Oryzias latipes: one gene and its partner. The protein of the gene in region 2 purifies or fractionates together with the protein of the main gene of each other region. This does not show direct contact. Links are inferred from orthologs where the notes say so. Each region holds a gene or a part of one and is shown on either strand. Other genes may lie near its edges.

What was found.
Region 1: the proteins of cul2 (region 2) and cops6 purify together in Homo sapiens (affinity purification with mass spectrometry; 5 studies listed by BioGRID and IntAct, counting the BioPlex papers as one, with this or other methods). This does not show direct contact. The link is inferred for Oryzias latipes from reciprocal best matches to the Homo sapiens genes CUL2 and COPS6.

What each region holds. Positions count from the first base shown.
Region 1 is NC_019868.2:6,644,668-6,648,943, reverse strand, and holds the start of cops6 (COP9 signalosome complex subunit 6), read left to right. Parts: upstream 1-1,165; 5' UTR 1,166-1,204; coding exon 1,205-1,247; intron 1,248-2,624; coding exon 2,625-2,750; intron 2,751-3,155; coding exon 3,156-3,287; intron 3,288-3,766; coding exon 3,767-3,855; intron 3,856-3,992; coding exon 3,993-4,055; intron 4,056-4,134; coding exon 4,135-4,182; intron 4,183-4,260; coding exon 4,261-4,276. Other genes in the region: fbxl12 (F-box/LRR-repeat protein 12), read right to left, coding at 1-158, 554-629, 798-898. UniProt on the Homo sapiens protein: Component of the COP9 signalosome complex (CSN), a complex involved in various cellular and developmental processes.
Region 2 is NC_019878.2:9,092,256-9,096,779, forward strand, and holds the start of cul2 (cullin-2), read right to left. Parts: upstream 2,995-4,524; 5' UTR 2,870-2,994; intron 1,434-2,869; 5' UTR 1,412-1,433; coding exon 1,293-1,411; intron 496-1,292; coding exon 393-495; intron 298-392; coding exon 203-297; intron 1-202.

The DNA of each region.
Region 1 (4,276 bases), on a different chromosome or scaffold from region 2:
TTACTCAAGCGAGGGCATTTAGTGGACAAAGCTTTGAGCCAGGACTCTGAGAGAAAGGTTCCACCCCGGGCAGAAAGCAGCAAGCCACGCAGGCGAAGGCACCTCAGTCCACAACCAAAGTACTGACGCAGCAAGACCCAAAGGATGCGAGATGTCACCTGATGTAAGAAAAAAGAAGAGACCATGTGACAATAACGAGGAGAAAACTGATTAAATAAATAATGAGATATAAGCTCAAACACATGCACATCAGAAACCTAAAAGGAGGCCTATTTTTTTTTTGGGACTTACTTTCCTAACAAAGGACAATTAACAACATTTTAAATAACGTGTCCAATTATAGTAGAAATAATAATACAAGAAAAAAAGTGCACCTTTGTCACTGTTTTTAGTGAAGGTTTAAAAAAATTGGACATAAACTAACAAAAGAAAGCCTTAGCACGGTTGTTTCAAACATCACATATTTTTTATCCATGTTTATTACTGTGTCCATTCGATTACAGAAGAATTAATATTAATACTTAATATTCAGGAACTGAAACCACAGTCCTACCCCTTTCCAAGCAGTCAGATCTACTGTTCTCCACAGTCTTTGGTCTTTAACCAGCCGTTTCCATCTCTTACAAACCCTGGAGAAAATGTGGAAACCATTAGAAACTCGCCAGACAGAAGTCTCAACAACAACAACAAAGGGAGATCATCCAGCTGGCTCTGTCTGTCTGTGCATGCTGCTGCATTGTATAGAAAGAACAGGGAACCAAAAATCCAACACATTCAGCAGGGCCACATTTTCATACCTTCCAGCTCGAACAAGCTCTCTGACGCTCAAAAACGACAACACGTCTATCAAGATGTTTTCGGGGAAGTAATCCAAATCGCAGCCTTTGAATTCATCCATTCTGTAAACAAAACCTTCCACACGGACTAATTTCCGGATGCACACGGGTTGCGCTCTAATCAGTAATCCCCAGGAAACAGCTTCTGGTTAGCAACAGTTCAGTTCATTTAACAGTTCAAAGCAACGGGCCTGGGTTTCTCTGAACATACTCAGTCTACGTCTAAGTAGTTATTTAAATTTTAAAAATGTTTATGACATCAGCTCTGCCGCGCGCCTTATTGATAAATGTTCAGAAAATATGTGATGTTGCCACCTATCGTTCGCTAGGTCAACAGTCCACTGCGCACGCGCAGTCTACCGGACAAGATGGCGACCAGCAATGGTGGAGGAATGGAGGTAGACGGGGCAGGCAAGTGTTTGTCTTAAATCAGACCGTTGGAGCCCGACGTTAACATGTACGCGCGCACCAAGGGCCCCGCGTGTTTTGTGTCTCTGCTGGTTTGTGAGCCGGAAAGATTTGGCGGCGCTAAAGCTTCTGGCTACAAAAGCTTTGCTAACATGATAAGCAGGTTAACGGTCAGTCAGTGATGAATCATTCTGGATTTACTGTCGCTTTCTCTGATCTAACTCAGTAATGCGCAGCTGAGTTTATAAATACAGTCACTTAACAATGTACCCATCCTTAAAATGCTATATAATCTAAATCCAGATTAACCGAGCGCTGTTTAAAGAAGGAAAACAACTTGATAGTTTCCCAAATGCTACTGTATTCATTCATCTAGAGTAGGGGGCTGAGACCTTTAACGGGAAACGAGCCACTTGGTCCAGATTCTTACAGATCAAAACCCAACGAGAGCCACAAAGTCTGGCCTAAACATTTAGAAAAATACACTTTTTGTTTGTTTACTTCAGTGGCTTTTTATTCATTATTGTAACAGGTAGCTTTCTTTTACATGTCGACAATAATAGAATCACAAAGGTGTTATATTTTACTAAAAAAGAGCAAGTTTAACTTCTTTACTTCAGACAGCAGCACATACACGTTCCTTTCAAAATAAAATGCACCCTAAGTCAAAAGATCCTCCTGCTTCAACAGATTTAATTTTAGGTGAGCATTCATCCTTTTACTATCAACATAAAGATGTGTGCATTGGTTTAAAATCCAAATAAAAATAAAAATCTATACATGTAAATGCAATTATATATTTTAAGAACTTTGACTCAAAGCAACAACTTGACAGTAGACTATAAGAATATTTGCTTAGTTAAACTAATTAAGTATTTGTTCAATTTTTTTGAATGTCTTTATAGCCGCATGTGGCTCTGGAGCCTCAGGTTGCAGACCCCTGCAACCTCAGATACATCAGACCGAAGCCATTTTATTCAGTCTGTGACATCTACAGGATGAAAAAGTGCTCAACCTGCTTAAGATGAGCATCTTTGTGTAAAATAAAACATGAGCAGCTGCTGATGTGTTGGACATTGTCATACATCCGATGAATTTTTTCCTTTATCAATTGATTAACTACAAAAATGACAGATAAAACTAAAAGGTAAACAGCTTAGGTTTAAAGATCAATCTTCAGGCCTGTATGAATATGTTTAGGCAGGTGTTATCCTCTCTTGAATTGTTTTAGGATTATTTTTTATTTGTAAATGTCTCATCAACACGACAGCCAATTATTTGATATGTCATACTATATCTTATTGTGAAAAATCTACGTTGTGTTCCTTGTGTCTTGTATTTCCTGTTTTGTTGAAGTTGTTGCTGTTTGTGTGTCTGCAGCCACCCCCAGTGTCATGGCCTCGGGGGTCACTGGGAGTGTTTCTGTGGCCTTACACCCTCTGGTCATCCTCAACATATCTGACCACTGGATCCGCATCCGCTCTCAGGAGGGCCGACCCATGCAGGGTATCTGTGATGAAGCTAAACTGTAGCTCCACGCGTTGACCAATCACGTTTACTGATGTCTTCTGGCTCCAACATGGTCATGTCTGTTTCACAAAAAAAAAAGGCAAATGAATTGATTTCATGTGCTTGGAGCCAGAAATAAGCCATTTTCTATGGGTGATGTCACACTAACGCACTCCAATTCTCACATACAATCAGTGGTTTTGATTGATTTGTACTTTTTTTTTCAAACAGAGACATCTTTTAGTGTTAACTAGGAACTCAGAACATGACTAAAATTCATCATCTTATCCAGTAATGTCACTATGAATGCAGTATTCTTACTTGAAGCAGCGGAGCTCTTGAACGTGTGTTTTTCAGGCATGTTTGTGTTGTTTTGGTTGATCGTGGGTTTTCCTTGTTTAGTGATCGGCGCTCTGATCGGGAAACAAGAGGGTCGAAACATAGAAGTGATGAACTCCTTTGAACTAATGTCTCACACCATAGACGACAAAGTGCACATCGATAAGGAGTACTACTACACCAAGGAGGAGCAGTGTAAGCTGGGTTTCTCAATCCGTGTTCTTTATTGAAACTCTGGACCAGCAGTCCTAAAATGTGGACTGAATGAGGCTAAAACAGTCCTGCTGGATTTAAAAGAATAAATAGTCAAAGATTCAGTTGTGAGTTTTGAAATAAACTGAATTAAATTGAAGGTTATGTCATTCCAAACGGTTAATCTCAAAATAAAACTTCATTTTTATGTTTTTTAATATTTGATTTTAATTTTTTCTAAAGCAAATTATTTACTTTTTGGGGTCAAAAATTGGCTTAATTCTTTTGTAAACAGCTAGAACCTTCTTTGTCTCTTAGATGTGAGTGAGTCCTAATTCTGAACTACAAAACAAATGTCCGATTGTTCTTTTTCTCCACATAAAGTACATAAAGTAATCTAATCACCATTTACATTTGTAAAAGTCTGTTTTTTGTTTTCTTTTGATTTTTGGCAAATAAATTGTTGAATTCTGCTGTTTCAGTTAAACAGGTCTTCAAAGACATGGAGTTCCTGGGCTGGTACACCACAGGGGGGCCCCCTGACCAGTCTGACATCCACATCCACAAACAGGTACAGAAACGCCGGCGCTTCATGCTCGACTGCAGCAAAATGTTCAGACTTAGTGATGCTGAGCTGGAAATGATCCACTTTTGGGTCGAACCTTCTCTCACCAATGCTTCTTTAAACGTTTGTCTGTTCTGTGACAGGTGTGTGAGATCATTGAGAGCCCGCTCTTTCTCAAGCTCAACCCGATGACCAAACACACCGACGTGAGTTGTTCTTCAGTCATGGAGGGGCGTGTGTGCGTGTGAAGAGCTTTTCTAACCTGCTTGTCCCGCTCCTCCACAGCTTCCTGTTAGCGTTTATGAATCTGTGATTGACATCATCAGTGGCGAGGTATTGTCTCCGCCTCTTCGCAGCTCTGACTATGTTTTTTTGTGGCTCCTCATTGAAACGTCGTCTTTCTTCGCTAAGGCCACCATGTTATTCG
Region 2 (4,524 bases):
ATTAAAATTCCACCGTATTCCAAATGAACAGTTTTTTTTGGTAAAAACAGGTTTCCCTAACTTAACTAAATTGGTTTTGGATAGAAATAAAATAAATAAATAGATCTAACAGCTGAATATATTCTGGATGGATTCAGTAATGTAGCAGTGTCCTCCAGCCCTACCCTGTTGCATGCTGGTAGATGTCAAAAAATACAGTTACCTGTACAAGCAGTCCATGTAGTCAGCGCCTTTGCTGTATTCCTCCCAGTATCTGTGGTACATCACTAAAACCTTTTCCTCCGACTCCAGAACTTTCTAGAAGTACATTCAGATATTATTACTAAAAAGCAAGAACTTATGGGGGAAGAAGCACTTCTTTTTTTTCTCCCGCAAGAGCGTGAAAGGCTTACCTTGTATAACTGTCGGACATGATTTTCAAGAAAAATTTTGGTCTCCGTGTATAATCTTTCCCCCAGGGGTTCTGGGTATGCAACACATAAGGCATAAATGTCGCTGGTGTCTGAGGTCAGGATCACAAACCAAGAAAACATCTTTTTTCAGACACATTTATCTCAACAATAGCTAATCTGTATTTAGAAAAAGATGAAGAACCCATCTACCCTATAAAACAGTGGTCCGCACCTTTTTCAGGCCATGGGCCGGTTTAATGTCAGACAAGAAACGAGGTTCAAGTGGCCGTCCGATTTGTTTTTTTAGCTAAAGGTTTTCCTTAACTTTTGAGGGTAAAGTCGATCTTCATCCTCTGTGAAATATTTGCCACTTCTCTAAACTTTATTTGTACACTAGATTTCAAGTAGGAACCATTAAAAAGGGATATAGATTTTCCCGTAACCCATAACTGTCAAAGTAGAGGCCAAAAAATCTGATGCCAACTTCAGCCTCGTCAGACTTTTAGGGTTCCACAAATATAAAAAATAAATGAATAAATAAGACATTGGTCCCTAAAACTTTTTTCTACTGAAACAAACTTTCCATATGTGTTTTTTTTAATGAACTTTGCCAGCCTGGGGGTCTCAATTTAACGGTCGGAGCAGCAGCTTTAAGAAAGTAGAGGATGGTTTTTTAAACGTGATCGAGCAACTTAACATGCATCAAGAATGAGTGGAATGTGGTGAAGAGAGTCGAGGACTTTTCCCAAATAAAACTTCTTTCAAAATCAGATGATAAAGAAAATGGGAAAAAATGTAGGTCGTGTTTTTTTCTCTCTCCCACGGACTGGCCTGGAGGTTGGGACCACCGCTATAAATTGCCTACAATCTTTAAAAAAAAAAAAATCTTTAAAAGGATACGAGAATCTGTCATTCCAGGTGGCTCTTTCAACATAGTCGAGCATCACAACAGCCTTGATTGTCGTCAGTAACTTGTTCCATGTTTCATCAAAGTCCACCACCCGCGGCTTTAAGGACATTGTAGTTTTTCCTTCAGCCTGACTGAAAAGAAGAAAAGAACAGGAAATATTGAAAGATGTTAAAGTCCCATTCCTTTAACTATGATTATGCAGCTTTTAAGTCCAAAAAATTAAAAAAAAAAAAACTTTCATTTTCTAGGCCATACTTTCTGCAGAGCAGTCCGCCCCACTTTCCATCACCCATCTACTCTCCCACTCTCGTACAACCCCTCACACACCAAGCCCAACATTACCAATGCAACAAAAATGGGAAGCAATATTGGAGCAATCCAGCTGTACAGTTTTGAGCCAGATTCCAGCTGAGACGAGGAAAACAGAGACGTACATGAATGCATCAGAATGGAATGGAGCAGGGAGCTTGTGGCCCGGTCACTGTAGCTTCTACGTCACAAATACGATCTTTTTCAGACAGCAGTTTTTCATCTGCTCCTGACTCACAACAATTTGAATTTAAAAAATACTCTGAAATGCAGTCTTAGGTTCAATTTTCTTTATATTATGTCCTCCACCATCAGAAAAACGCCACAAGAACATGTTATAAACACCAAACACAATTTTTACTGGAGTGGGTCTCTAAATGTTTGTTTTGACAGCACAGTCACCAAAATAAAGGCTGTATGACAAAAAAGAAACTGATAGTAAAAAAAAAGAAGAAGAAGGAAGCATCATCAAATACAAAACAAAAGTATACGAGGATTTCAAAACAGCACCTGGGAAATTAAACCAATAACACGATTTGAACATCTTTACCAAATAAAACATAGTAACAAGGACATTTTTAAAACAATTCTTTTGATCATGGAAACAACACTCCATAGCACTATTATGTCTGATAATCATTCTGTTCAACAAGAAGAGGCTAACAGCTAAATATTTTGGAGAAAAGTAAAGAGAAAACCTCTGAGCAGCAGCGAAACACTTCATAAAAAATCTATCAACGTTCAAATTAATGCAAGCAGTTGTAATTATTACGTCAAGTGGGAGAAAGAAGGCCCTGTATGTGTTCTTTCATGTTTGTCGTCATTCATTTCAATTGCTATAACGCAACATTAAACATCTCAACATTTGTCTTGAAAAACCACGTCAATATTTATTGTGACTACAATTATGCTACCGAATGCTGTCTCTCCATTTTAGCATCCCTCTGACATGTTTGTTGAACCTAGCTAAAAAAAAAAAGGTACAAGCTAGCGGAATGCCAATCCAAAAATAGGATGTTGAGCTAAAATGCTAGCTTACTGCGCGTTAGCATGTCACTTCTTCCTGTTCAACTGAAGGCAATTTTAAGGCAAAAGCTAGCAATTAGCCAGCTAGCTGGCGGCTAACGATTGCTCAGCTATAGTTAGCAAATTGTCATACAAGAAGTTTCCCTACGTAAACCTTGACATTACGGCAAAGCGTGGCGCTGATGTTGAAAAAATCTGATTACTTATTATAAGCAAAGACTTTACAACTAACCTTAATTCAGTAATTACTTGTTTAAAAACTCCGGTTTCTCCGCTGTCACAGTACTGATTTGACTCACAGGTCTTCCCAACCACTAGGAATATACCACTTGACTTAGGTGAACGTTACAGACAAGTGTTTATACTTTGTATGAATTTTAGGAAACAGTAATTTGTCTGAATTGTATCTAATATAAATTCATTAACAACAGATCATAGATATAAGCTTTACATTAACTAAAGCGCGGCAACGTTAAAAGAAAAACCCCAACCAAAAAATGGTATCGCCCAAAACTACGGAAACCTTAAGGAATCGAATTTTTCAAACACCGGTGTATTCTGTTTTTATATGCTCTATTTTTTTTGAGGGGAAATGTGCATTTATTCCATTTGTGTTTAATACAAATTAAATTAATTGATAAATACAAAAAATAAACACTTCATATTTGCCTCACTTTTAAATAAGTAAAGGTTTTTCCAGAAGCTACTTGTGCCAAAGTAGCTTGGCTTTGCACGTTCTTTAATCTCTTTGGTAAATTTTCTGTGATTTCTTTTATTACAAATTTTCACTCTCCCTTTTTTTGCTTTGAAAACATGCATTGTTTGGCTTCCACCACCATAAGAATATGCCGCTTAAATTTGAATACATCCTGACTGCCTGCTACTTCAAACTAAATCCCAAATGTTTCTTTATTTTTGTTGAAGGTCAGACTGTGTATTGAATCAATTAGTTAAAAAAAAACGTTCAAATGTCATAACTGACTATTAGTACTTACAGTGTTGTTCTTTATTTACTACATCCCTGATTAGCTAAAGTTAGTTTTAGTGCTTGTTTGAAGAAATATATCATAGCTGGTAAAATTAATGCATTTTGGACACAAATTTTTGTTAATCAAAACATTTTTAACTATAAATTTGCAATTTTTTTGTTTTGTTTTGCTCTGCTTTGTTAGAAAAAAATGGAAAATATTCAACCAGAAGAAGTTGTTTTTAGCTTTTACCAAAAACTTGAGGTATATTTTGAATTCCTTACAAGAGTATTTTTTTTTTGCTTGCTTAAAGAAGGAAGCTGTTATTTTACAAAAAGGAGGATCAGATGCTCCTTTATATAAATCTTCATTTTTCTTTTATACAAATACAGTCTTGTTTTCCATAGAATGACTTCCAGGGTGATGCAGCTAAATACAGAAGAGAGTGATCAGTCACAATAAGCTCCAGCTTCTCCCAGTTTGATTCCTTCTTACCTGCAAACTAACAACAGTAATGCAGGTAAACATGTCGATAGTGGTTAACATGACCACCTCCACACCCACTGGTTTGTGTTTTCCTTGGTCTTTCAGGGCTGTGTTTTGATTCCCATCTCGACTTTTCCCCTTCGGATCTTCAGGGCGTTACAGATAACCAGCCATTTACAAACAACCCACAATTTTTAATTGTAGGAGCCACAAACACGCCAGTTGGTCCAGTTCAGACAGGTAACCCCTGCTGTTTTCTCTTAAAGTTATTTGTTGTCAAATGTGATTTTTTTATTTGTTTTGTGACAGTAACAGCAATACAAATATATATATCCTTAATCTCTCCTAAAAACATCTAAAAATATTTTCCTGTAATCCATGTGGATTGTATTAAATACATACATTTATATAGACTATTTCATGCAACATTGTG